4 linked regions of the Rhinolophus ferrumequinum genome follow. The protein of the gene in region 1 purifies or fractionates together with the protein of each later gene. This does not show direct contact. Links are inferred from orthologs where the notes say so. Each region holds a gene or a part of one and is shown in the gene's direction. Other genes may lie near its edges. The genes, in order: ARRB1, MAP3K5, IGF1R and NOLC1.

The links.
Region 2: the proteins of ARRB1 (region 1) and MAP3K5 purify together in Homo sapiens (affinity purification with western blotting; 3 studies listed by BioGRID and IntAct, with this or other methods). This does not show direct contact. The link is inferred for Rhinolophus ferrumequinum from reciprocal best matches to the Homo sapiens genes ARRB1 and MAP3K5.
Region 3: the proteins of ARRB1 (region 1) and IGF1R purify together in Homo sapiens (affinity purification with western blotting; 3 studies listed by BioGRID and IntAct, with this or other methods). This does not show direct contact. The link is inferred for Rhinolophus ferrumequinum from reciprocal best matches to the Homo sapiens genes ARRB1 and IGF1R.
Region 4: the proteins of ARRB1 (region 1) and NOLC1 purify together in Homo sapiens (affinity purification with mass spectrometry; 4 studies listed by BioGRID and IntAct, counting the BioPlex papers as one, with this or other methods). This does not show direct contact. The link is inferred for Rhinolophus ferrumequinum from reciprocal best matches to the Homo sapiens genes ARRB1 and NOLC1.

What each region holds. Positions count from the first base shown.
Region 1 is NC_046294.1:50,017,919-50,024,818, reverse strand, and holds the start of ARRB1 (beta-arrestin-1), read left to right. Parts: upstream 1-3,899; 5' UTR 3,900-4,083; coding exon 4,084-4,139; intron 4,140-6,900. UniProt on the Homo sapiens protein: Functions in regulating agonist-mediated G-protein coupled receptor (GPCR) signaling by mediating both receptor desensitization and resensitization processes.
Region 2 is NC_046286.1:82,961,626-82,968,693, reverse strand, and holds the start of MAP3K5 (mitogen-activated protein kinase kinase kinase 5), read left to right. Parts: upstream 1-4,053; 5' UTR 4,054-4,265; coding exon 4,266-4,707; intron 4,708-7,068. UniProt on the Homo sapiens protein: Serine/threonine kinase which acts as an essential component of the MAP kinase signal transduction pathway. Plays an important role in the cascades of cellular responses evoked by changes in the environment.
Region 3 is NC_046311.1:11,461,780-11,468,643, reverse strand, and holds the start of IGF1R (insulin-like growth factor 1 receptor), read left to right. Parts: upstream 1-3,853; 5' UTR 3,854-3,955; coding exon 3,956-4,049; intron 4,050-6,864. UniProt on the Homo sapiens protein: Receptor tyrosine kinase which mediates actions of insulin-like growth factor 1 (IGF1). Binds IGF1 with high affinity and IGF2 and insulin (INS) with a lower affinity. The activated IGF1R is involved in cell growth and survival control.
Region 4 is NC_046299.1:22,809,362-22,817,050, reverse strand, and holds the start of NOLC1 (nucleolar and coiled-body phosphoprotein 1), read left to right. Parts: upstream 1-4,687; 5' UTR 4,688-4,774; coding exon 4,775-4,894; intron 4,895-7,447; coding exon 7,448-7,503; intron 7,504-7,617; coding exon 7,618-7,689. Other genes in the region: PPRC1 (peroxisome proliferator-activated receptor gamma coactivator-related protein 1), read left to right, coding at 1-597, 1,396-1,533, 1,638-1,704, 1,823-1,944, 2,185-2,336, 2,613-2,716. UniProt on the Homo sapiens protein: Nucleolar protein that acts as a regulator of RNA polymerase I by connecting RNA polymerase I with enzymes responsible for ribosomal processing and modification.

The sequences.
Region 1 (6,900 bases):
AAGTTATTTAAGTGAAGCAGAGGATGAGTAAACAGACCGTTATAAAGTGTGGGAAATGCTGTGAAGGGGGACACATTGGGCGTGGGTGTTGGGGAGCATCTAACCCAGACATAGGGGGAGTCAAGGAAGGCTTCCTGGAGAAGGAGATAGCTGAGCAGAAGACATAGCACAGGCGTTCTAACAGCTGACACAGCAGGCCTGGGGAGGGATCTAAGGAATCATAGGGATGTGGACTCTGGATTGTAAATTGCAGAAGCAGAGACTCTGACATCAAAGGATTCCGTCTAGGATCCATATTTCTCTACTTTACTTACAATGTTTTTTCCAGACTCTCCTTTCACCAAGACTTGAGACATATCTTGCTAGGGAAGCCCTCACATTTTTATAAAGTAATTTATGCTTATGGAAAATAAGGGACATAAAGAAGTGGGTGGGTAGGTGGAGGGAGTCTCATTCAACCCCTATTACTTTCCTTTCATTCATTTTTTGGGGTTTGTTTTTAGTATTCTTTAAAATTGAGGTATAATTTACATACCATAATATTCACAGTTTTAATGTAAAATTTCGTGGTTTTTAGTACATTCACAAGGTCTTATAGCTATCATCACTATCTAATTTCAGAACATTTTTGTCACCCCAAACACAAACTCCTGCCATCAGTAAACATTTATTATTTCCCACTTCCACAGCCCCGGGCAACCACTAATCTGCTTTCTGTTTCTATAGATTTGCCTATTCTGGACATTTCCTACAAATGGAATCAAACAATATATGGTCTTTTTGTCTGGCTTCTTTAACTTAGCGAAATGTTATCAAGTGTCATCCATGTTGTAGCATGCATCCATATTTTACCTCTTTTTGGAGCTGAATAATATTCCATTGTAGGTGTGTACCACATTTAGAAAAATACATTCATCAATTGATGAACATTTGGGGTTTTTTGTTTATTTGTTTGTTTTTTACCCTTCATTACTATTATGAATAATGCTGCTCTGAACATTTATGTACACATTTTTATGCAGACATCTGTTTTCAGTTCTCTTGGGTATATTCCTAGGAATGGAATTGCTAGGTCATTGTTAACTCCATGTTTAACTTTTTTCCAAAGTGAGTGCGTCGCCTTATATTACTACCAGCAGTATATGAGGGTTCTAGTTTCTCCACAGCCTTGACAATACTTGCTTTTGTCTTTTTTGGGTTATAGCTATCCTAGTGGGTATGAAGTCTCACACTGTGGCTTTGATTTGCATTTTCCCAATGACTAATGATGTTGAACATCATTTCATGTGCTTATTGGCCACTTGTATATCTTCTTTGGAGAAATGTCTATTCAAATCCATTGTCCATTTCTTACTGGGTTATTTCCCAGTTTCTAACTGGGGTTTCTAACTGGGTTATTTGTTTATTAATGAATTATAATAGGGTCTTTATATATCCTGGATACTAGAACCTTATCAGATAACATGATTTGAAAACATTTTCTCCATTCTGTGGATTGTCTTTTCACTTTCTTGACAGTGACCTTTGGAGCTCAAAAGTTTTTAATTTTGATGAAATTAATTTTATCTATTTTTTCACTTTAGTTGCCTGTGCTTTTGGTGTCATATCTAAGAAACCATTGCTTAATCCAAGGTCATGTTTCCTTCTAAGAGTTTTATAGTTGTACCTCTTATATTTAGGTCTTTGATCCATTTTGAATTAATTTTTGTATACAGTGTAAAGTAGGGGGTTTAACTTCCAATTTTTTTTTTTTTTTTTGCCTCTGGGTATCCAGTTGTCCCAGCATCATTTGTTGAAAAGACTTTTTTTCCCCATTGACTTGTCTTGGCTCCTTTGTCAAAAATCAATTGACCATAAATGTATGGGTTTATTTCTGGACTCTCAAATTTGTTCCATTGATCTATATGTCTATCTTTATGTCAGTATTACACAGTTACTATTATGATAGCTTTGTATTAAGTTGTGAATTCAGGAGTGTAAGTCCTCCAACTTTGTTGTATTTTTATTTTTTCAAGATTGTTTTGGCTATTCTGGGTCCTTTGCATTTCCATGTGAACTGTAGGATCAGCCCGTCAATTTCTGCAGAAACGTCAGCAGGAATTTTGGTAGAAATTTCATTGACTCTATAGGTCAATTTGAGGAGTATTGCCATCTTAACAACATTATGTCTTATTATTTTTTCTTTTGGTATGTATTGAGTATAAATTGAGCTCATGCCAATGTACTGCTTTGAATGCTGATTTATTTTGCTCAGTATTCCATCATAGGCATTTCCTTGTGTTACGAAAGATGCAAGCGTACTTTCACTACATAATATTCCACTGTTTGGCTGTATTACATGGGATTATAAACTCTTGGTTGTTGGGTAATCTGTCACAGAAGGTGCTTTGTTCTGAGTCCCTCCTGGTGCAGGCTTCTTCCTACAAGCACAAATAGACTCTGGGAGGACTTGTGGCTCACAGAATAGCAGCAAAATATTAGTGTCAATGTTGATCAACAGGTACCCCAAACTGCAGGTGGGGAGTGGGGATCACTAGAGAAGACAACATTCTCGATCACGGAGAACTGACCTGCCAGCCTTTCTGGCAACACCACCCTGATGGAATGGAATCAGGAAACAGGATCCAACAGACGGTAGACACTGATAAAGCATGTTTGTTTTAGACGTGTTAAAACATTTGCAGCATGAAATTCATTTCACATTGGAACTCAGTACACCTAACGTGAAAGTTTCACTAAATAATACTTTGTATATCAGCTGAGAGAAGCTGGTCTGCTGTAGTAACAAACAACCCTCAGGTCTTAGTAGTGCAAGAGCTTTCTTTCTCTCTCATGCTATAATACTTGTCTGTCGTGTAGCAGGAGTGCCCTGGAATTTAGGTTGCTGGAGTCTTCCCCATCCAGATCATTGTTGGTTTCAGTGGCAGAGGAAAGAGGTTGTGTAGGCAGACGAATGGTTCCCCAAAGATGTCTAGATCTTAATCCTTGGAACCTTTGAAGACGTTTTATTACATGGCAAAGGGGGATTACAGTTGCAGATGGAATTAAGGTTGCTAATCAGTTCACTTTAAAATAGGGAAATGGGAGGACGAATGTATTTATAAGGGTCTTTAAAAGTAGAAGAGGGAGGCAGAAGAGGTCAGAGTGATGCAGTGTAATAAGAACTTAACCTGCTGGCTCTGAAGAGGGAGGACGAGGCCATGAAACAAGGAATGCAGGCAGCCTCTGAGAAGCTGGAAAAGTCAAGGAAACAGATTTGCCCCTAGAGCTTCTGGAAAGGAATGTAGCCCTGCTGACATCTTGATTTTTAACCCAGGTACAATTTGAATTTCTGAACTACAGAACTGTAAGATAAGCTTATATTGTTTTAAGCCACTAAGTTCATGGTTATTTGTTATAGACTCTATGGAAAACTAACACAAAGGGTATGGGGAACCATGCACCAGCTGGTAAATGTTTCTGCCTAGAAGTGACATATGGCACTTCTACTCATATTTCATTGGCCAGAGCAAGCCACATTGGCATGCGTAACTTCACAGCACTGGAGAAATTTGCCCAGCCTAAAGGGGAATGGACAGTAATATCTATTATACCTTTGCTATCTGCATCTCATGCTTACATCTTCTATTCCATTCCATTAAAACAACAAAGGCAAAGGGCTGGTGGCAATTCTTTAAGTTGATTTCATTATCAATTTAAGGATTGACCCCTGGTTTGAAAAATACTGCTTTATAGACTCCTCTGCCCATGCCTCATGGACCACATGACACACCCTAGGCAGAGCTGATTGGCCCAGGTGTGGGACACCTGATCAAAGGTGACCAATGAAATTCCTCTCCTGGGAATTTGGATTTGGGCCATTTAGCAGTTAACAGTGGGAAGCTGAGTGAGGCAGAGTAGAAACAGGGTCAGAGTGAGAGCCAGATGCAAGCCAAAATGATGGAAGAACAGAAAAGCCCTGAGTAAGCACAGAGAGTTGGTCCACAGAGACAATGGATCAACCGCACAGAGAGCAGTGCAGCCGGGAGAATATGCAGCCCCAGAGGGAGAGGTGGAGAGAGAGAGCAACCGTCTGAGAGGCTGATGGCTTCCCCGTTTCTGACTCCAGCCCCAGTGCATCCTGCCTGCGCGTTCTTCCCGTGAGATTTCTTTTCTCCTTATACCCTCTTCTCCTTTTCTTGAGCTGCCCTCGGTGGGTTTCTGTTCCTAGTCTCCAGGGAGCCTCAATCAGCTAGAACACCAGCAGAATTTCTCTTATGGGAACAGGTCTTGACTCTGAGAATCAGGCTTGGGGGGCATAGATGGAACTTGGGGGTGAAACAGACCCAGCCGTCCCACAATCTGGAAGATTAGCTTTGATCACAGTCTCGCGTGTTTATCCTAGCTCTTCAGAGTGGGCAGGCAGAAGCCATCTGTGTGGTGCTGCGCACGTGGGCGTCCCAGTGATCTGGAAACACCCCCAGAGGGGCCTTTTTTTCTGACAGCGTTGGGGTCAGGAAGCTGGTGAAGTTGCTTCAGGGGGGGCTTGGCTGTGCGCTAGAGTGGAAAGGACAGCGTGGAGACGGGCAGCCACCGTTCGCTTGTCTGAGCCTCAATTTCCTCATCTCTCAAGTGGGATTGTTGAAAGATCAACAGTGTTCTGGGAAAAATACTTAGAGACAGGACTAGGGCATAACACACTCTCAGGTCATGGCAGCTGCTGTTGTTGCTGAGGAAGCCGTCCGTGTGTCAGTTTCCTGAGGAGGTGGCCCCCCAGGGGGCTGATTGAGTTAGCCACAGGACATTCCCCCCACGGGTCATGCTTCCTGCCTCTGGTCACCCTTAATCTCCTTCTCACCCCTTAATGAATAATGGCTCTTTCATTTCTTCCTCTCCCCTCCCCTGCCCTCGTTTTCCCGATTTTCTGCTCCTGATGTTGGAAACACCTGCTTTAGGAAAGCAGCAGGGTTGGATATAAAGTAGCCATCCTCTGGAGGAAGCCGGGCAGAATTAGCTCGGAATCCTGACTTAGCCCCTTGCTTGCTGTGTGTTCCTGGGCAAACTACTGCATTTCTCTGAACCACTAGTTCATGATCTATAAAATGGGCGTTATAATGCCTACGTCGCAGTGCTGTTAGGAGAAATAATGAGGCACTCAACAAACGCTAGCTCTTTCTTACCGCCCTTCCTCCCTTCCTGATTTTCAGTCCTCCCAGCCTGGCTCCCACCCTCTGCCTGTGGCCCAGAGGTGGATCTCTGGTCTCCTTTGCAGGTCCAGCCCAACTTGGGAGCTGCTGGTCGAACCGTGTGATCTGTATTTTTTCTCACTTTAGCAATTATTATACCCCAGCTGACTATGGCATCTTCACATTCCACATCTGATAAATATTTATGAGGAGGAGAAAAGCTCAGAACTCCTAGGGGAGGTGGGGGAGGGACGTACCAGGCTCTTCTTTGCAAGCCAAGCTCAGACGCATCCACGGTTCCTTGGGCCTCAGAAGTAAGGGGTGTGTGTGGGGGGATATGCTATTGGAGGCAGTACAGAGCCACCACCAGCTCCTTAGAGGAGCGACTGTCACAGTGACAATGTAAACTCACCCCGCCTTGCTGGACCTCTCGCTCCTGGGGAAGGATTTGGGCTGTGTGATCCTGCTTGGCCACATGTGGGCTGGCTCCATCTCTCTGTCTGCTCTAGCTCTCTCTGCTTGGGACTGTTTCTCCCTATCGTTTTTTGTTCATTTGTTTTTTTCATCTCTCATTCCATCTTTTATTTTCACACCTCCCGGAGCATGTCCCTCTCCTGCCCTCTCCCTCCTCCCTTCCCTCCTCTAATACTTTCCCCTGGGTCTCTGTCTCTATCTTTCACTTTTCTTCTCTCCCTCCAAACATTATTCTGAGCATTTCTGGGGCTTGATGATGGGCGATAGGTGAGGGGGTCTCAGGCTCCCAGACCCAACTGGAGGGAGAGGGCAGGGGGAGCTGCTGGAGCTAGCAGCGTGCTGTGGAAGGGTGAGCGCTTGGCGGGAGCTGGAGACCTCACCTCCGCCTAAATCTGCATCCAGTGCTCTGTCTGCTGTGTGGCCACGGGCACAGCCCCTCTGTTTCCTGGGCCTCCGTTCCTCAGTTAATTCCAATATTCAATCATTCATTCATACATCCACTCAACTAATATTTATGGAGTGCTTGCTGCCTGCCATTCATTAACACGTTTATTGAACACCTACTAGGTGCACCCATCTAGGCACTTGGCATATATATCAGTGGACAAAAGAGACAAAGATGCCAGCCCTCATGGAGCTGGTACGTCAGCAGAGTAGACAGGCATAGATGTAAGCAGCCATGACGTAGTAGGTTAGGAAATGGTGAGTGCTGTGGAAAAAGGAGAAATAGAGTGAGAAGGAGTGGGAGTGGGGGTGGGTACAGGCTGAAGCCCCATCCTATCAAGCTGGGCAAGCCGATCTGTGAGGGGAGAGAGTCCCAGGGGAGGGCACTGCTAGAGCAACGGCCCTGAGGCAGGAGCCACCCTGGTGTGGTGGGGGCACAGCAAGGAGGTTCCGTGGCTGGAAGAGTGAGGGAGGAACGTGGGAGGGGAGGCCAGGAGCTGAAGGATGGCAGACACGCAGACAAGGCTTGTCCTGTGTGAGCTGGGAGGACCCGGAGCAAGTGCGCAGGACGGTCTGACTTACATCTTGAAAGACTCTCCACATGCCCGTTGAAGAACAGACTGAAGGGGCCCAAGCCCAGGAGACCTGTCATGGCAGTGATGCTGGCTTGGGTGAGGGTAGCGGAGGAGATGGGGAGATCTGATCATGCTCTCGAGGCTCGGATGGTGCCTGAGAATCGCTCCAGGCCTCTTGTCCTCCGTCCTGCTGAGGGACGGCCTGCAGCAGCCTTCACCTGCGTGGGATATGCTAACTCTGG
Region 2 (7,068 bases), on another chromosome or scaffold:
TCAAATGTTTGCCTACATTCACTGATCTTATATTTACAGAAATACTTCATGGCCCAGGATGATGTTAGCTTCCTCTGGAGTGAATTTTGATTACCAAATGCCTGGAATTACCCTAATCCAATTTCAGGGTTTGAGCCTTTTTCCTGGGTTACGCAAATGTCTGGAGGCCTGGTTGTTATCCAGGTAAAGGTCATTTCACTTCTAGTTCACCCTGACTTCTAGGTTATCTCATCCTTACTTTTGACTTTCCAGGTGTTGTGAAAAAAACCAAAAACCAAAAAAACAAAACAAAACAAAAAAAACCAATAAACAAAAAAACAACAGTTTAGCCTCTCAGCTGCTTAATTCAGATCCACAAAAATTGCCAGGACAGAAGCAGCCCTGACTGTAGGCACACCCTCTGGATCCCTGCCCTCTCTTCCAGAATCTGGCCATATAGTTTCACATGATCTCATTAGTTTTTTGATGCCTTTATTTTAATTATTATTATTTTAAAAATTTTGTCCATCATTCTTAGTCTTCTTCAGTGAGAGGGTTGATCAGAATTACCTAACCTGTCATAATCAGAAAGCGGAAATCTCTCCTTGATATTCCTCCAGTTTTTTATTAGGAAAATTTTCTGCCCTACCTGCAAGTGTTCTCAAAGTGTCCCAAGGCCCATCTCTAAATGGAAATGGGATGGACCCTGACTGAGAATATAGTTCTGATTGGTAAACTTCAGTTCTGCTGCCATGCCTTTTTCATGTGTAAAGATGTCATAGAATCTTTATGATGTTATAATTCTATCATTTACTGACTGTGATTTAATCTTTGTCAAAAGCTTCGGGAAGCCTGCAATTTGTGGATCTACGCAACATGTTACCTCTCTGTCTCCTTGGGTTCCTTTTTGCCCTGATGCAGAATGTCAATTTGTGAGCTAACGAAGAAATATAATCCCCTTGGTTCCTCCATTTATTAAAGCAATATAACCAGAAAGTATTATATCTGATTTGTCTTATTTTAGATTCTTCTAAAATGCTTTCCTTGAGTTAATAATTAATATTATCTTCTTGGCTTTTAAAAATATTAAACATAAATTTATGTCTAATATATAACTAACATATATAATTTTTTACAAACAAATCCATTTTCAATTGCATTGTATTGCCCACTGTCCTCTATATCAGATTCTATGTAGTAAAGTATAGAATTTAATGTCGGAAAAAGATTTGACTCTTCATATGAATATGTGTACTCTTACATGTTTTCTTTTTATTTTAGCAGCCAAAACACACAGAGCTCAGTTTAGCAATTAACTGAATTATGTATTTATATGTGTGCTTGATATCTCTTTTACTGGCTTCCTGATTGATTTCTGACAATTTAAAATTATATGTACCTTGTTTTGTACGTAACTTTAAATACTTTTTAGAATTACGAGTACAATACAATTACGTATATTGTATTCCCACTTATCTGAGGATACAAAGAAAGAGGCAAACTTGTCACATAAAACAAAAGCTAGCTAGCTAGGAGATCCTTGCCCATTTCAAGCTTGAAATTCACCATTTTGCTTGTTTGAGAACAACCCTGAGATGCCCTTTAGAAAAAAGTGCTCCTTTGATCCAGACAAGTTGCAAACATGCGCATCCTCTGGGTGGTCCAATTAGAAAAATGCTTTCATTTCTCCAGATGTGCACCTTGGGCCAGCCTTGCAAGCTGAGGGCAGGCTGGGTACTGGCACCACATCTATCTCCTCTGCTTACACACAGGCCCCACATTTGCGTTGCAAGTTGAACCATCTGAATTTTTGCATATTTGATTATTAGTTATAAAACTGGAAATTCCATGATTCAACCTGATATATGCCATGTAAGTTTCATTAGCTAAACCATGCCATTTAGGTAGTGAGAGAGCCTTAGGACCAACTATGTACAAGCAGTCTTTCAGCATTGCATTGGGGTTTGGGTGCCAGTAATGAATAAAATCTTTAAAATTATTAAATCAATTCAAAGCAAAATGAAGCGAGCAAAAGTAAAAAGGTGGCTCTGAAAAGATCTAGAAGGGAAGCAAAGCTGAAACGGTCTAAAAAGTTATGGTTTTTAGAAAATACCTTTATATAATCTTAGATCTGTGTGGTAAAATGCTATTGAGAATTTAGGCATTTTAGTTTTCCAGACTTGATCCTAATGAATTTCCAGTGTTTATTGTTTTGGGTCAGGATGGGGTAGAGGATCATCTATTCCCGCAGGAGTTTGGAGGTTTGACAAGTCGTTGGAAATACTAAACGTTATATATCTATTATATTAGTAGCCCATCAACGTTGTCTTTGTTTTTGTTTTCAGTACGGTCACTGATTCACTAAATACTTTTCTAATGACATCAAGTCCAAAAGCACGTGTGGATCACATGGATTCCAATTGATATGAAGAGTGTTAAGTATCCTTACTATAAATTCACTTCTGTCAGTTTACAAACCTTTAGAAAAAGCTAATGTCACTTTGCTTCCTTGGGGATACAGTTGCGTAGCTACTAGGTGTTTTTCTTCTTATTACTGTTTTCTTCCTCATTTGAACTCTTTACTACTCAACTGTTTCATCCTTCCTTTTTCACCCAAGCTTGAACGTAATTTGAATTATTCTTCTACCTTTTTCATAGGACTCATTAATCTCAGTTCCTGGAGATGGGAAACCCAAAACCTGCCTACCTTATTTTCTTGCAATTTTCACTGGTTTTCCTAAAGTCATAGCATTCTGGAGTTCTCTGAGAATTTACACTTCTATTTTTGCTCCCCAAATAAGTAGGTACTTTTTGAATGCTCTTAAGCAATCCACATATTTTTTCTGCCTGTGGTTCAACTTAAAAAAACAGAAGAAGTCATTTAATTTTCCTCTTTCAACTGGCGGCTGATGATTTGCCGAATCTGGTATAGACCTCCTCTTCTATCTCAAGTAAGTATATAGCATATGTGTGTGTTGGGGGAAGGTTAAGATCCTAAATGAGAATGTTAAATCTCTCAGCAGTTGAACCTAATCAATTACTCATTAATGATAGCACAGCTGTTGGAAAACTTTAAATGAAAAGTACAGGCGCACATCTGATAAATTTAGCCTGCCAATTCCGGAGCGCCATTGTCACTAATAAAACACCCTCCCCAATTTAGGCCCCAATTCCCTAGCGCTGGTTGAAATGCCCCCGCTTTGCGCAACGCGGGCCTCCCGGCGCTGCCCCAATCCTTTCAGGGCAGGCGGCGGTTCCAGACTGCGCTGCGGAGGCAGGGACCAGAGGAGGGCGCCGTGGCGGCGGTGAACGCTGTAAATGCCTCGAGGCTAGCTCAGAGGATCCGAGCATTCGCCAGAGAGACTATTTTTTTTTTTCGTCATACTGTTGTCTCGTGCGCTCCGGGCTTCTGCCTACTCCAGATGTTCTTAGGTGGGGGCCTGGTTGGAGACGGCAGAGACCCTTGGTCCGGACAGCACTCGTGCTGGGCGCGATCAGTTTTGTCCTGGCTCGAGATTCCCAGCAACGCCCTCCCCTGGGGCGGGCTCTGACTCTCGGTGCTGCGACGAGTGGGCGGCAAGAAGCCGGTGGCCCACAGCGTGAGCGGCTGCAAGGAGCGCTGAGACTCCAGCTGCAAGGCTGGCGCCGGGACCTAGCGGCCGCGGCGATCGGAAGAAAAAGGAGATCAGGGGAGGAAGAGGAAATAGAGCAGATGAAGGAGAACTGCCGTGGAACAGCGAGGCGGATCCTTTCGACTGCAGCTGCCGCTGTTCCGGCACGCAGCCCGGGGAGCGTGCCAGCCCGTAAGGTGCTGGCCAGGTAGCTCCCCACCCAGAGAACGCTCTTCCTGGCCCTTCCCAGAGCGCCTGGCACGGAAGGAGCCGGTGCCGTGCTCCTGGTGGCCAAGGCGCACCGCACCCCAAGAGCGGCGCCCTTGAGCTGCACCGCGGCGCAGGTTTGTGAGCGACTTGTTCGCCCGCCGAGAAAAGGAAGCACTGTCCCTTCCAGCTCAACCCGACTTCCCCACCCCTTGTACTCTACACCCTGCAGCGGGCGAGCGGAGCGGCGCGGCCACGGAGGCGCCGAGGAGGGGCGAGCCGCCGCCCGGCGGCTGCGTCCCTTCGGGGGAGAGGGCAGCTGAGAAGAGGCGGCGGCGCGGCGCGGAAGGCGCGACGCGCGATGGCAGCTGCTTAGCCCGGCGCGCGCGGAGCAGCCCCGAGCTGTGGCTGGCCAGACGGTGCGACTGGTCTGGGGACGCCGCCGCCACTGCAGCCGGGCGGGGAGAGATGAGCACGGAGGCGGGCGAGGGCATCACTTTCTCCGTGCCACCTTTTGCCCCCTTGGGCCCCTGTGCCTTCGCTGAGGGCGGCAGCTGCCGGAGGGGAGGAGTGGTAGCCGAGGGCGAGGACAGCCAGCTACCACCGCCGCCACCGGGCAGCTTCTGGAACGTGGAGAATGCCGCCGCCCCTGGCACTGGGTGTCCCGCTGCCACCTCCGGGAGCAGCGCCACCCGGTGCCGGGGCAACTCTGGTGGCGGAGGCAGCCGACGGACCACAGTGGCATATGTGATCAACGAAGCGAGCCAGGGGCAGCTGGTGGTGGCTGAGAGCGAGGCCCTGCAGAGCCTGCGGGAGGCGTGCGAAACGGTGGGCGCCACCCTGGAGACCCTGCATTTTGGTAAACTGGACTTTGGGGAGACTACGGTGCTGGACCGTTTTTACAATGCAGGTGCGTGTGTAACCCTTTCCCATGCTCCACGATCCCTGGCCGTTGCAGGGTTTAAAAATATGTTTTTCTGGGCAGGAGAAAAATAATTTTCTGGGCAGCAGGAGTGCTTCCTACTTATTTACTTCTTGCCGCACCTTAGAGACAGCAGCGCTGCGCGACTGCTGCTGGCGCTCGCTGCTCTTGGGAGAGAGTGGGTGCTGGTGCAAGAGCCTGTGTGTATTTGTGCGAGAGACCGGCTGACTCACCCACCCACCCACCCACCGGCGCTGGAGCCCTGGGGTCTGTGTGGTCCTCATACAGAACTTTTGTTCCTCAGCAATGCGAGATACTGGCCCCAATCAGCCCTTCATTCAGTGTCTTGGTTTCTCTTGTGTTAGATTTGGCCCATATTTTCCTTCTGTATCTACCTGTGACTGAGGTGAGGGTTCTCTTTTTTTTTCTTTTTTGGTCTTTTCTTCTGTATAGTTTTGTGAGTACAGAAACCATAACTTATGCCACACAGCCAGCTGCATGCACGTAGTGTGTCTGTATGAATTTGCATGTCATGTCCTGATCTTCCCACCTCATGTTACCTTAAGTTTGGTGGCTTGAATTTCTCATTTCTTATCAACTTTTAAGTAATTACTTCCAAAAGTAATAACCTTGTAACTTACACTAAACTTGTGTGGTATCTTTGTTAGGATTTCAGTGAAAGGACCAGGGTCTGTTTTTCATTACCCCATATGCCATGATGGACTGGAAAGTGTATAATTTAGCATTGTTTAAAATGCTGATAGGCTTTCTTGACAGCCAACACTAAATTGGCCATTAAAGTGACTGCTAGCATGATCCATGAAAAAAATGTATTTTAACCTATCACAGATTTCAGAAAGTATTGTAGTTCCAGTGACTGAAGCGATTAGCTATCTGTTAGCAAATGTTAAGAATAATAATGTTATTTAAACTAACCATTAGCACCCTGTATAACCAATATTGAACATATATACATACTTATTTTTATAAGTGTGGGCAGAAAATTTGATTTAATGGTGGTTTCAAACAATAAGGCTCTTGCATTTGTGATCACATAAAAGGTTTTATATTCTAATCTTGTTTTCAGTTCTCATTCTCTTCAGCCTCTTCAGAACACCTAAAGTAGGCTTATGTCAGTTTTGGAATTCAGTCAAAGCTGAATATTTTAAGCACAAGAACTTCATGTTAAGGAAGCCAGACTAAATAAACTAGGACTTTCTGGTTCTGGTATTTTTTACAGCCTTCTTGGTCTTCATAACTGAACATGAGTATAATATATTGTAGCTTGGTTCTTTGGGTGGCTTGCTAAAAAATGGCATAAACATAACTTTTCTAAAAATGAGAGCACTCTTACTTTTGGATTATAATTAGGAGGAAGCTTCAAAGAACTGAAAGATGTGTGAGGGAAACACCCAGCCAAATAGTGTATTTTTACTCCACTGATAGGGCGCTTTGAAAATATCTTAAACTCTAAGCCGATTTGAAAGTCTTCTGTCAAGGCTCACTTACTGTTTATTCTCCAAGTAGTGTCCCTAAGAAAGGGAGAAAGATTAGAAGGGACTGGACATCTGAACTGTATATCTCATTTAATGCTCCAAACTGGTGAAGGAAGTCCCTGCTTACTGTCTTTCTTAGGTGAGAAGACCAAGGGATCCAGAACTGGTCCCAGGACTCAGGTAGTAACTGGTCGGTGCTGGGAATCCGCTTCTGACTCTAAAAGCTCAAGCTTGCTGCCTCCATTTAGTTGAGCTGATTTTCTCTCAGAGTCAAGAGAAGCTCTCTATCTTGGAATTATGTGACAGAGGATGGACAGAGACTTTGTGAGCCGTTTAGGGGCAGTGTGCAACGCAATAGTGGGGAGAACTTGTTCTAGGAAGACCAGTGTTTGTAGGCCAGCTCTGTCCCATTCCACCGCTTCCATCATCCTGTACCCGTCCTAGTTTAACCTCTGCCTATGTGAGTCACGTGAACTCTGAGCCTTCTCATTCAGCTTCAAAATGTGCCACAATGAAGATGGGTATCGGTTTTGTCCAAACCCTTTATTTTCCTAAACTGAGCGTTTAATGGTAGTAGAGGCTGCTGAGTTTAATGGTAGTAGAACTTTTCTTCTGATTTCTAAGACAGCACTTGCTCCTCCTCCATCAGGATTCTGCAAATTTTTTTGTCAAGGGCCAGATGGTAAATATTTTAGACTCTGCAGGAGGTCTTTCTTACAACTACTCAACTCTGTGGTTGTTACAGGAGAGCAGCCATAAACAGTACCTAAACAAAAGATCTTGGCTGTAGTCCAATAAAACTTTGTTAGTGGACACTGAAATTAGAATTTCATATAATTCACAAAATATTTTT
Region 3 (6,864 bases), on another chromosome or scaffold:
AGTTGGGCTGTTTCTCATATTTTCACTTGGTATATATTACATTTGGGGCTGTCTGAAACATTTAGCAGCATCATTTGAGATATAGCTGTTTTCAAGTGCACAGTTTTTAAGAAAACGAAAATAAGCCACCAGTTTCTGCTCCAAAAGAAGGGAAATTTATGCCACCTGGGGAAAATGGCATAACAACAAACAAGTGGGATGCACTGTCAGTGTGATTATGAAGCTAAGACTCCAGTGAATGTTTTACCACGTGATTTTATTTCCAAGGTGGAAAAAATAAGTTTGACTTCAGTATGTAGAATGTAATCATTGAAGAAGATAAAAATTGCCTTTTGTGTCTATGTGATCAAGTTAAAGCTGAAAGGCAACTTATATTTTGATTCTCTTTTTTCTAAAAATGAAGGTATATAATAATAATCATCTAACTTTTCCATCTAAAATAGCTTAATCTTATTTATTTCCCACTACTTTAGGAAAACACACACATTTTAAAAATTGACAAATGAAAAATCATTTTGGTAAAAAAAAATACCCAAATCACTACAATTTAAACAACTGAGCATTTGTCCTTTATTCTGTGTACCTTATGTCTTTAGGGACAAATGAATGGGAATTATTACTAATACTAAAAATATATTGTATAGTATTTAAAGAGTTTTTATTAGCATTAGTCTTTTAAAAGTCAGCTCTCAACTTGTCTAAATTTACAAGCATGTATTTCAGAATTCTAAACACCAAATACAATGAAAATATAAAATTGATTTTCCTTTACATTTAACTGCAGAATGAATCTGTAGGCATCAAGACCAACCTCATGCAGGGAACTCTCTGAAGGAATATTTAAAAATTAGTAGACTGAATTTTAATTATTCACATGTAGTGCCTGATTTTTAAATGATACGTGCTAAACTTGTTTCTTTGTAAAGATTCTAATACATTTCTTCCTCTGTTAATGTCCATAACATCTAAAACTGGAATCTTTTATTTAAAAGTTAAGCTGAATTTCATTCAGTTAAGCAAAACAATCCCATATGAAAAACTCTTGTAAGTAAAAAAAGATTTATTTCCCTTCTATACAACTGACATACTGAATTGAGCTAAAAATTTCCAAGGAGATCAATGATCTAGGGACTAAGTATGGGGGTCTGGGAAGGCTAGGTTTCCATTATGATAGCTTTTGACTTGTTTTCAGGTCTTAATTTTAAAAATGATTTACAAACGATGGGATACAAACAATGTAACTCGGAAATCTTTTACACGTAAAGAGTAAAAAACAAAAAAAGAAAAGAAAAGAAACCTACCTTTTCTTTAGAACAGATCCCTTCCTACCAGACAGCCTGGTTGTTCATGAGACAAACACTTCTACTCGATCTAGACATTCACGACTCTTTTATTAGCCATCTTCTTTTTATTTGTTGTTAACATCAATTAGCCTGAGTCTTGAAACCCGACCACATTAAGGGCAACACGTGGCCCACTCACTATTTTTTAAAGTCCACGTATTTCAAACTCCTTTCTCCAGCCATTGCTGGGCTGTTTCCCCCTTTAAGGACCTGGTCTCCGCAGCGTTTATTCGTTAGATGGCAGTTCTCGGGCAGTCTTGTTTTGGGGAAACCTCTCCTTGGGCACATTCAAGAAAACCACAGAGGAGACTTGGGGCTGGTGCTGATTTCTAGTCACTTACATAGCGAAGGAAGCAAGAGGGAGGGGCCCGGGAGGACCCGAGGCAGGTGCGGGTGGGTTTCCGCAGTGACCACACTGATCGCGCGTATGTGCGGCGTGTTCCAGGGTCTCGACCCCAGCCAGGAGACTGTGCCCGCCACGGCCGCGGACCCCTTCCTTCAGGGGCCCCTCGGACACGCCCCCTAGCCTCGGGGGCCCCCGCGGCCCGCACGGTGCACGCGCTTTGGCCGCTCCCAGCAGCCGCCCACGTGGTGGAGCCCGGAGCAGCGCGAGGAGCTTTTGGGGCGGGCCGCGGGTCTTCGAGGCCCGGCCAGTGCGACCCAGTCTAGCGGGCCCCCAGTCCGGGCCCCCACATTTCCTCTCCGGTTCGGAGGGAGGCGACACTCCGCGGGCCAGCCCTCCCCCGCGCCTGCTACGCCCCCTGGCGGCCGCCGCGGGGACGCGCCCTGGGCACGCGGGGCAGCCTGTCTGGGCCCCCCTTTCCCGGCTCCGGGCTCGCGGCGGGCGGCTGGCCGTCTCCCCTTGCACCCCCTAGCCGAGCCCCGCGGGCCGCGCCCTTCCCCCTCAGCTCCCCGTGAGCCTCGCAACTCCGGGCTCCCCAGTCGCGACACCGCGGCCGCCCTAGCCATGCGTGAAAGTGCCCACCTTGGGAGCCTGGGAGGGATCGCCTTTCTCTCAGGTGTGCCCCTCCCGCCACGTTCGGGCTTTCCAGAGCGCTGCGAAAAAATGCCGCATGCACGCACTTATTTATTTATTTTGCAACAGCTGCAAGAAACAATGAAGCTTTTCAAGAACCGGGGAAACGCGCTTTCCAGCCGCGCTGTTGTTGTTTTCAATGAACCTCTCGGGCCCCGCACTCCCCGCCCATCCCGCTCCCTCCCCGCCTCTCCACCCCTCCTCGGCTGGCCCCACCACCCGCCCGGACCGGCGCCGGGGGCATTGTTTTTGGAGTCCTGCGGGAGGGGAGGGCGCGTGCAGGGTGGCCGGCGCAGTGCGGGTGGGGGCGAGAGCGTGTGGGCGCGCGCGCGCGTCTCCGGGCGCGCGCGGGCGGGGGGACGGGGGCGGCGGGGCGGTGCCTTGCCGCCTCGTACCCCACGCCCCGGCTCCGCTCCGCACGTCCCTGGGATCCCGGGCTCCAGCTCTTGGCGCGCGCCGGCCTGGGCCGGGCCCTGGGCGCGCCGCGGCTGCGGCGGCGGCGGCGGCGGCGGCGGCTCCGGGAGGTGCGCGCGCGCGCGTCCGTGTGCGCGGGCCCGAGCGCGCGCGCGCTAGCCCCCAGTGTGTGGCGGCGGCGGCGGCGGCGGCGGCAGCGGCGCGGCGAGGCTGAGGCTCTTGTTTACCAGCATTAACTCCGCTGAGCGGAAAAAAAAAAAAAAAAAAAAGGGGAAAAAAAACCCGAGGAGGAGCGAGCGCACCGGGCGAACTCGACAGAGGCGGGCGAGCGAGAGGGACGCCGCCAGCGAGCCTGCCTGCGGCGCGCGGTGCCCGGCGCGTGCAGACCCTCGGCCCCGCTCCCCGGGCCCTTCGCGCCCCTCCCGCCCGCGCGGGGGGCAGCTCCACGGCGCGCCGCGCGCCTCGGCTTTGACCTTCAGCGAGCCGGAGCCCCCGCGCGCGGAGCCGGCGGCGCGGCGGGCGGGGGCCGGCGCGGGGCGGGCGGCGGGAGTGCAGAGCGCGGCGCGGCCGGCCCGCCGCTTTGTGTGCGTCCTGGATTTGGGCAGGAGCTCGCGGCGGCGGCGCCAGGAGCTCGGAGGACCTGCAGGAGGGGGAGCCTCTCATTCATTTTGACTCCGCATCTCGGCCCGGCCGGCCTCGCCCGCACCCGGGACTTCGCGGCCGGCTTGCGAACTGCGTCGCGCCCTCCCGCCGCCGCGGCTCGGGGCCCGCACCGCCTCCCCCGGGGGCCGCGATCGGGTGTGCGCCGCGCGGCCCGGACGGATTTGGGCTTTGCCCCCCTCCCGTTGCAGCCCCCCCCCACCCCCCCCCGCCTGCTTCGCTGGGTTTGAAAATGGAGGCCGACGACGCCGACAGCCCGCCCCGGCGCGCCCCGGGTTCCCGACTCGGCCGAGCCCTGGGCCGCGGCTGCCGACGCTGAGGGGCCGCCCGCGCCGCCCGCCCCGTCCGCGCCGCCTCGGGAGGACTGTTTGCTTCGCCCTTGTGTTCGGAGGGGGAGCGAAGACTGACTTGGAGACTTTGGCTTTTCCTCCCCCCCCCACGCCGCCCGCCCGCCCGCCCCTTTTATTTTTGAGAAAGGGGAATTTCGTCCCAAATCAAAGGAATGAAGTCTGGCTCCGGAGGAGGGTCCCTGACCTCGCTGTGGGGGCTCCTGTGTGTCTCCGCCGCGCTCTCGCTCTGGCCGACGAGTGGAGAGAGTGAGTATGTGCCCGCCGCCCGCGGCCACTGCGGGAACTTTTCCTCCGAGGGGCTGCGCCCTGTTTGCGAAACCCGAGTGGCCCCCGTCGCAGCTGTCGGGCCCGCGGGCGCAGGAGCGGCGGGGCGGGGCGGGCCGCGCAGGGGCTCGGCCGCGGGCTCGGGGGTGGCAGGCCCGCGGGCCCCGGCTCCGCGCGGTGCCCCCGAGGGAAGGGCCTCGCGGGCTGGCGTGCTCGCTGTCCCGAGAGCCGTGCCCCGCGCGCGGGCCGCGTGTCTCCGTGGCGCTCCCTTCCTAGCCAGGCGCTGGGACTCTTTCCGGGAAGTTCGCGCCCCGTGGGGCCACGCCGCCCGCACCTCGTCCCTGTCGGGGCGCGCGGGGCTGGTCCGCACCCCGCGCTGGCGCCCGCACCGCGCGCAGACCGCGGGGACAGCTCGTGCGGCCGCGCGGAGCCCTCGCTGTGGGGCAGACGCTGCGTCTGTTGGCGGGGAGCCCAGCCGCCTGTGGGGTACAAGTTGCCCTCGATGAGGAGGTGCCGGGCGGAGCGGCCCCGCAGCCCCAGGACACGTTTCCAAACATCCCGGTGCGGCCTCCTGTCACCCAACGCGCTTTGCCCCTCCGGCTCGTTGGGTTCCTGGCCGTTCGCGTCATTTTCACCCGATCCGCCGCAGGTTCCTTGTCCCACGCTTCCCGGGGCTGCCCAGTGCGGCTCTGGGGTGCGGGAGCGAGCCCGCCTGCACCCCCATTCCTCCATGCAGCTCCTGGAAAAGTGCGAAGTCGGGGGCCCGACACCGGCCACTCTTCTGGGGGAGCGCGTCTGGACCCCAGTTCCGAGGGTTCCGGGACCTCCTCCCAGGGTCTGCCCGGCCCGTGGACGCTCTCCTCCCCCTGGCGGGACTGGGGAGGGGGTGGTCGGGCAGCATCCGAGTGTGCGGGAGTGGGTTTGTGGTCGCAGCCGACGTGCATGTACACACACGTGCTTGCCACGCGGGGGTGTCGCCGCCGCCACACGGCCGCGTGGGGACACCTAGACGCCGCGCCCTGGCCAGAGGTGCCCTGCGCCGCGGTGGACGGATGGCGGCGGCGCGTGGGGAGGGGCGCGTGTTGTTTTGCGAGCGCGCAGCGCTGGCCTGGGCTTCGTGGCCGCAGTTGTCTCGCGCTGCCCCCTCCCCCGGCCCCGCACTTCCTTTGTACATAGTTAATAAGCAGTGTCGCTGCACACTCGCTATCGCTGGCAATCTGATAGCTTTTGTTTTGGTCGTGTCGGGTAGGGGTAGGGAAGCACCGCGAGGGAGGAGGGAGGGAGAAGTGGGGGCCCCCTGGGGTGTGGGGGGAGGGCAGGAGGGGGTTCTCTGCTTCTCAAAAAATTAAAGTGTGGCTTACTGGTGCATGCGCGACGGCAGGGTAACTTGATCACGATTAAAGTTTAAATGCAGTCCCTGGACTGCGGGCTGGGGCCGGTGAGGGCGTGCTGGTGAGTAATGGTTGCGAGGCTATGCAGGTAGTGCCAATTGGGAAAATCACGACTGAGCCGTGAAGAATGAGGGGGAGAATCCGGAGGCAGCGGGGGCCGTTCGGAAAGGCCGTGTGAACAAACCCTTCTTAACCGCTTGGTAAGAGCTGAGTCCACGATGGAGTCCGAGCAGATTTTTTATAGGATTAGCGTGTTTACTGCGTGGAGTCAGACGCAGACTGAGGCCGGACCGTCCCCAAATCTGAGCTCTTCTGCTCTTTGTTTTCTAAACTTTCAGCTCCACGGATTGGGCGAAAGGCTTTCGGGCTCCCTTCTAAGCCTCACAGACAGAGTTTGGGGGGACAGAAGAGGGTTTGTAGCCTTTGAAAGCTAAATATAGTTTGGAAGACGCAGCGGTGTTAATCCATTTTTAGAGTGGCGTTGCTATTGAACTGTACTGTCTCTCGTTTTATTCTTTAATGTTAGTATGTTATGAAATTCTCAGCAACAGTGATGGCCTCCGATAGAGGAGGCCGGCATTTTAAAATAGGATGTCTTGTTTGGAGCGTTCTTCTTGAAAAATATCCTTTGTGAAAGGCGTTTCATTCTTGAGAAAACAGGAGGGTTAGGGGTATTTTAACGTACGTTTCTAATCCCATGTAGCCCACGCTTTACTCAAAGATGCCTTGGAAATTGTTGGTTCCCAGAAACCTGATGGGAGGCCAGAAGGCACCCCCAATCCTGATTATGGTCTGTTGGAGTTCTCACTCAGGACCTGCCCCTCCCTACAGCTCTGAAGTTTTGAGGATGAAACGATAGGCTTAGCGTGAACCTGCGTTGAGTTTTTATCCCAAAGGTGCTAAACACTTACCTCTGAGAGAAGTAACGGCCACATCTTATCAGAGCCTGACATTCTTTTGGCTGGCTAGTCCAGTAACCAGGATTGGGGTGGTGGTTGTTCCCCATATTTAGGGATTCGTGTTTCCTCTCCGAGTGTGACCGCAGTAGGGTGATTTTTAAAACTCTTTAACTTAGAAAAGTTAGAAGTTTCGAAGCAGATGAAGTCATACAGACATGGCTGTTTCGTATCAGTACAACATGAACAGAGCGTCTAAATAAGGGAGTTTGGAAGTTATAGCCAAATAATCTGTTGGCTTTTTTTTAATCAATGGGCACTTCACACATGTTGTGGCCATCTCATTAAAAGGATCCAGTCATCTTTCTGCCCCAGGCACGTGTTTGTCCTTATTGTCAGAAAAATGGATGTGTGGAAGATCGGTCTTGAAAGGAGTTGATGTTTTTTATTCCCCGAAAAAAGAACCCAGAATAAGAAGTTTGGAAACAACCTAAGCAGCAAATTATTGTG
Region 4 (7,689 bases), on another chromosome or scaffold:
AGTTACAGAGGCCAAACATCCAGCTGCAGCCCGCCTCCAAGAAGGGGTCCATGGCCCTAGTCCAATCCATGTGGGCTCTGGGGACCATGACTATTGTGTCCGGAGCAGGACACCCCCAAAAAAGATGCCTGCTTTAGTCTTTCCAGAGGCAGGTTCCCGATGGAATGTCAAACGCCATCAGGATATCACCATCAAACCTGTCTTGTCCCTGGGCCCAGCTGCCCCCCTGCCCTCACGCACAGCTGCCTCCCAGGAGCCACTTGATCACAGGACTAGCAGTGAGCAGGCAGATTCCCCGGTCTCTTGCCTTGCCCCATCTGCCTTGCTGTCCCCTGAGGCCTCACCCTGCCGGAATGACACGAACACTAGGACTCCCCCCAAGGCCTCAGCCAAGCAGCGGTCAATGCGCTGTTATCGAAAAGCCTGCAGGTCAGCCAGCCCCCCAAGCAGGGGCTGGCAGGGCCACCGTGGCCGCAGCAGTTCTGTCAGCTCTGGGTCCAACCGGACCAGTGAAGCATCTTCCTCCTCATCCTCATCGTCGTCTTCATCCCGATCCCGGTCCAGGTCCCTCTCCCCTCCACACAAGAGGTGGCGAAGGTGAGCTCTGATAGCCTGTTAGGTCCTTTCCATTTAGGAAGTTCTGTACTCTCTGGTTCACTTTGAACGCTTTTGCACATTGAGTTTGATACTTTTAGGCATTAAGGCTTTTACTTCTGTCTTTGGCTTTTGTCTTTTCCCCCTTTCATGGATTGTTTAAGGAGGCAAGCTGTGAGAAGATAGCTTCTGTCCCCTGTTGGCGTTTGGGGTATCCCTGAGGTCTCCTGCTTCCTTGAGACCTGCCTTGGGGAGGCCCATTAGGGTTTCATCTTGACCATGTTGATTCCTTCGCATACTGTATCAGTCCTCATTTCTGGTATTTCCCTGGTGGTATGTGGGAAGGTGGGATCGTGGGTTGTTAATGGTAGATAGTCTTCCCTTTCATGTTCTGTTGGGGAAAGTGTCTGGGCAGTTCCTTTGGGTGTCATTGTGGCCTCATCTGTTTCCTGGCAGTATCTTTTTCTCAGTAAAGGTCCAGATTTTCCCACTTAGATAAAGAGGCCTTTATTTCTCTGTGTCTCTGTTTATTTTTCTTCTTTCTGATTTGTGAAATATTTTTCAATTTTTAATTGTGTAATTGAAAAGAAATAGGATCTGTGCCAAAACATTGTAAAACATTCCAGATACGTCTAAAATTCATAAGGACCTGTTTGGTCATCTGTGAAGTTTTTCTCGACTTCTTCTGCTCTCCTTTGCCCCTGAGCTTCCTTATAGGGAGGCAGGGTTAGGGCCAAGGTGAGGTAAGTGGAATACACCTGCACCTCTCCCAGCATTTCTTTGTGCCCTTTTATTCTCCAGGTCCAGTTGCAGTTCCTCTGGACGTTCCGGAAGATGTTCTTCCTCTTCTTCATCTTCCTCATCTTCCTCATCCTCATCTAGTTCCCGAAGCCGGTCCCGTTCCCCATCCCCCCGCCGGAGAAGTGACAGGAGGCGGCGGTGAGCATGTAGCATGTGTTCAGGGAGTCACTACAAGTTACTGAGAGTTCTGAAACTTGAGCTGTCTAATGTCAGTGAGACTGATGGCACCTTCTTCTCGTTAGGTACAGCTCTTATCGTTCACACGACCATTACCAAAGGCAAAGAGTGCTGCAGAAGGAGCGTGCAATAGTGAGTAGAGGAATAGGTTGTGGGAGGAAGGGGCTTGCCTCTGAGCCATGAGCTCAGAGAGCCATTTGTAGCTCTGGCCCTGGCTCATGGTGTGTCAATTTTCCTTGACCCAACATAGGAGGAGAGAAGAGTGGTCTTCATTGGGAAGATACCTGGCCGCATGACTCGGTCAGAGCTGAAACAGAGGTTCTCTGTTTTTGGAGAGATTGAGGAGTGCACCATCCACTTCCGTGTCCAAGGGTAAGCTTGGGCCCGAAGGTCAGGATGTCCTTTTGTCCCATTCATGTACCTTGATGCTTCTTTGTCGTTTCCTCTTGCTCTGGTATACAGTCAATGTCGGACAACTTCATTCCTATGTTTGGGGTTGGCCATTTGGGAACTTAGAAGAACCACTCCAGTCCCTCTCTGTACCCCGGGGGGCTGTTTCTCCTCCATGGCATGTGCCCACATAGCCAGCCTCTGCCTCACCCTCCCCACCAGTGACAACTATGGCTTCGTCACTTACCGCTATGCTGAGGAGGCATTTGCAGCCATCGAGAGTGGCCACAAGCTGAGGCAGGCAGATGAGCAGCCCTTTGATCTTTGCTTTGGGGGCCGCAGGCAGTTCTGCAAGAGAAGCTATTCTGATCTTGGTGAGTGGAGGGAGGCCCTGAGGCTTTGGTGTACTTGATATCCCCGGAAGGGTTCCCTGCCCTTTTGAGAGTGGGCTAGGCAGACTTGTCACCTGACATGCGAAGAACCTAAGGGATGGGAAAAGGAGAAATGGGGGCTCTCATATTTTTTACTTAAAATCAGGGTGAGTTTAGCTCCATCCATTATTGGGATGGGAGGTGGAGGGCCCGCTGAGGACCCTGTAGCTGGGAAGTGCCGTCAGAGACCTTGATGTTTGTCTATCTCTACCTTTATAGACTCCAACTGGGAAGACTTTGACCCTGCTCCTGTAAAGAGCAAATTTGATTCTCTTGACTTTGACACATTGTTGAAACAGGCCCAGAAGAACCTCAGGAGGTAACCCTGGGCCCTTCTCCCCTTTTCCCCTTTTCTTTGGAGGTGTCCAACCATCTCCATCCCCCTCTCCCACTCTAGGGGAGAGAGCTGCTAGTGAGGAGATGACTTTTATAAAGAAATGGAAAAAACGTGAAATAAAAAATGTGTTAAATCAGATTTTTTAAAGGGTATGGTTTGTTTTTTTATAACAGGAATTGAAACACGTTAACTTGCATTTCTATGTAAGATGGGTGAGGTTGAGGGGTTCCCCCCCCCCGTGTTTGGAAGATCTACATCACTACGCAAACTAATAAACATAAACTAGAGAGAACTCCCATGTGCTCTTTGTGCTTCTTTTCTTTCTGTGGTGTTAGTGCCAGACATACTCACTTTTGCTCTCTGAACAGTGTCGTGCTTACCTCCATTGAGTTACTGGGACCCCTCTGCTCAGGTGCAAAATCCTATTGGACTTGAAACTTGGCTCCTCAGTGAAATCAGTCATTTAGGGCAGTGCTTCTCAAACTTTAAAAAGGCACTTTAATCATCTGGAGATCTTTTTAGAATTCAGATTTTGACTTCTGGGATGGGGGCCTTATATTCTGCATTTCAAACAAGGGGATGCTGATGCTACTGGTCTAGTAAAGGGTTTTAATACCACGGACCTAGAGGAAACTTACACTTGCTCTGTATAAAGATTTTCTAAATAGACTTGTACATTTTAGCTTGAGCACAATGCTTGGCACACAACCGGTGCTCAGATGTTTAAAGAAAGCATGCATGTGGGTAGACCTCTGGGGAAGAGGGAAATGTAGGAGTTATATCTATGAGAGGGAATGCCTATTTTGAGAAAGGCAAAGGAGGAGGTGTGTCCCCTGAGAAAGTGCATCCTTTCCCTTCCTGAGGGGCATTAAATGGGAAGTAGTCAAGGGGTAGTGGGTAGGATTGAAGGAATTGATGTCTGCTGATGTGAACTGAAATATGATAGAATTTGGAATTGGCAGGCCTGGGCATTGACATTTGAGTATTCAGGACAAAGGGATAGGCAGTTGGGGGGTTTTCTAGATCTATGTGAACTGTGACCCAGGAGGTAGAAGGGTTATTATCAGGACTATAGTTTGAACAGATTGCTGCTGTGTCACCCAGGTTTGCTGCACAACCCCTTTTACCTTCATGGAACTAACAGACTGAGTAAGGAGGGGAAAGGGTTGTCTTATGGGCAAGACATGAGTGAGGGAGGGACAGTTTTGGGGATCAACACTCCACCTCTACCACGGATAATCTGAAGGATCCTTTTTCATAGAGGTGGGAATCCAGAGGCTGGGGTGGTATCTGAGAAAGGGTCTCCCTAGGTGTTGGAGGCGGTGAAGATAAAAGGGTGGGAATCCTTTGGTAGCGAGGAGAATGGGGGCGGTTGGGAGATCTTATGCCGGGCTAGAGCAGGGGTGTCAAAACTGCAGCCTGCAGGCCAACTGCGGTCCGCAATCCATTGTTAATTGGCCCACAGCAAATTCCAAAAATATATTTAGTTTACTTAAATAAACCAGGTGAGGCAGTATGTACTGCACCTGGAGTGAATGGCCCAGCTGTTTGTGTATTTTTCCACATATGGCCCTTGGTGAAAAACGTTGAAAAAAGGTTGGACACCCCTGATCTAGAGAGTCCCAGGATAGCTCGAGCCCACGGGTCCACATTACTCTAGAATCCGAATCCCAGCTAGGGCGCTGGAAAACTGCTGCTGGGAGAAAAGGTTCCTCCTGGAGAAAGACGGCGCGGGAAGTCCAGAGTTTTCCCGCCATGGCCGTGGGCGTGACCCCTTACGTCAGGGCTCCGCCTTCACAAAGTGGCGGCGGCAGACTCCGCCCTTACCAAGATGGCGACACTCCTGGGACCGGAAAGAGTTTACAGATTTCGCCTTGACCCTGCCTCCAGGTGGAGGAGGGACTGCCCTGTGGGGTGTGCCCGCCCCTTCCGCTGTGCGCTCGCGCGGCGCGATGGCGTCACAGGGTTTGTCCTCGCGTCTCCGGGTTCTTGAGTTCCTCTGTCGTGCGTGTCGGGAACGGTAGTGACGCGTATTGCCCGGAGGATGGCGGACGCCGGCTTGCGTCGCGTGGTTCCCAGCGACCTGTATCCTCTCGTGCTCGGCTTTCTGCGCGATAACCAGCTCTCGGAGGTGGCCAATAAGTTCGCCAAGGCAACAGGCGCTGTGAGTCCCGGGCTTGGGGCACGGGCCGGGTGGGATGACCACGGGGCTCCCGGCCCTGACATGCTTAGGTTGCCAGGTAGGTCGGTGGGGTCTGCCAGCACAGTGTCTGTGGCGCCTGTGCGGAAGTCTCCGCGGTGACTGGAGAAAGCCTGGAGCCCACGAGGTCTGATTAAATAGCGCTGAGTCTTGCTGCTTTTTTTCTGGTGAGCAGTGCTCTGGCGGCAGCGTGGGACCCTCGTGGCCCAGATCACGTGGCTGGCGAGTGCGGCGTGGAGGGAGTGCCCTGTACCACCGGAGGGAGGCATTGGAGACTCCTGGTTCATTCTTTGGGCCTTACGTTGGCTGATGCCAAGCGTGACTAGATTTTAATTCTTAATCGAATTTATCCTGGATTCAAATATAAATAAAATTGCTTTAGAAGCCTGGGGTTTTCGTTAGTAAAGAAAATGAACGAGAGTAGAGGCAGGGTTCTGTTTTCAGTTATACTGAAGTGGGATTGAGCCTCATATCCCTACCAAGCAGGCACAGCAGTGGGCTTGGATCTTTGACTTGTGGAATCAAACACATACAGGTTTGGGACCAGGCTCTGCCGCTTAAAGATGTATGACTCCAGCTTGCTTAAACTGGATCAGTTTCTATTTCTATGGGGATATCGTCATTCACTTTATAGGATTTTTGTAAGTTTCAGTAACCTGTATTCAAAATGGCAATCGCAGTGCCTGGTGCTCAGGAAGCATCAGTGAGCGAAAGCTGTTATAGTTTTGGTAACTGAAGATGTTCCAAACAGTAAAAGGAAGATGACCAGGGATGTAAAAGGTTTGGAAGCTACGTCTCAAGAAAAACAGACATGACTGTATGGGAAAAAACCTTAAGAGAGGGTAGAGTGTCTCGCAGTGCTAGTCATTGACGAAGAAGATAAACTTGTTATTTGATGCAGAATCAGGCTGCACAAGTTGAGAATCCGATCAGCCTCAGAAAGGACTTCCTTAAGCTGGGGCATGCCTTCCTTAAGCTGCCATGTGATCCGATATAACTGCTTTCATATTGGAACTGGAATTGACTGTTAGGGAGGCTGCAAAGAATGTTTCCACAATGGACTGGATGGAATTGGCCCTTTCAGAATTGGGATTCTTTTTTATGTGTCAAAAGCTAATCTTTGTGGAGGGCTTACTAAGGGCCAGATGTTTTCCAGATGCTAAACCCTTTATGTGCCTTATCTCATATCCTCTCAACAACTTAAAATGTGTAGTGTTAGTCATCTCCATTTTATAGAGAAGAAAACAAGCTTAGATTAAGTAGTTTGCTCATTTAACTCGGAGCCTGTACTCATGTGTACTGTAATGCCTTGCCATTTTTTGCATCAGTAATACAGAGGGTGCCAAAAAAATGTATACACATTTTAAGAAAGGAAAACTATTAAAATTGTAATAATCAATATATACCAATAACAAAAGATGAATTCAAGTCTTGTTTGACTTCTGCAATTACAAGAGGTGCTCAAAGTGGTTACCATCAGCACGTCCAGACACTTCCTTTTTTTTTTTTTAATGTAAGAGAATAAATCCACTTTATTCAGTTTTCAGTAAGTTTAAATCCTTGAGGGGTACAGCATTACATGGATTCTGTGTCCTATGGCCTTAGCAGGAAGGTTGCTTTGGCATTTGGCATGAACCATGCCACTGTTTCCATGGAGTTACCTTTCCCCAGATTACTCTGGTTTTGTTCGGTTTGCCACCAGGAGTCACTGTTGTTCTTTGCCTTGTACACATAAGCACATTTCTTGCCTGGGTAGAATTCAGTTTCATCCCGAGCATAAACACCTTCAGTTTTAAGAAGAGTTGTGTGCATTCTCTGGTTCTGTAGACCCGCTTATAGCTAGCAAAAATGGCTTTGTACCAGCCTTCCAGACATATTTGTTGTTTTAGAAGTCCTGTTCCCAGCAGGCCTCCACAGGCTCCAAGATCCAGACACTTCTGATTACAGGCGAACTATTGCTTGAGCAACATTGACCAAAGTATCCACTTGTATACATTTTTTTGGCACCCCCTGTATATACTAGTGTAATTAGTAGCTGGATGCAATTCTGTACTGAATACATGACATACATAGCTTTTTACCAATCTTTTCTTGGAGGCTGTTTTCCAGTGATTTGGTTTTATAAATCATATTGCAGCAAACATCCTTTTTATAAATGTTTGTGCCCTTGTTTCATGGGTAAGATAAATTCCTAGATAATACGTTGTTAGAGTAAGGGAAATGCACATTTTAAAAATCTTTGATAAATAGGATGGACAGGTGAGGGATACATGGTGCCAGAAACTATAAGACTAGCCCAAGCTTTTGGTACCAAAAATTGGGAAATACATGAAGAGAATATTTTTTTCCTAATTTGTGAAAGTAGGAGAAGTCACACAAAGTTGTAACATTTATGTGAACTATAGCAGGTATAAAGCAGGTCATTTAATGAGAGAATAACAAAATCTGATCTCCCCTAGAATAACCAGGATAAAGGATAAATTATTTTTACCCAGTCTCTTTTCTTTTCTCCTACAGACCCAACAGGATGCCAACGCCTCTTCCCTCTTGGAAATCTATAGCTTCTGGCTCAAGTAAGTGTTCTGTGTACCACTGTGGCTATTTTCTACCCCCAAGTGGGCTGGAATGTGTTCCTTGGTTTGGGAAGGAACTTCTGATCATCCAGAAGTTAGCCTGATCTACCTCAGCAGGTCCACCAAGGCTCCAAAGCGGAAGTTACAGGCAAATGGACCAGTGACTAAGAAGGCTAAGAAGAAGAC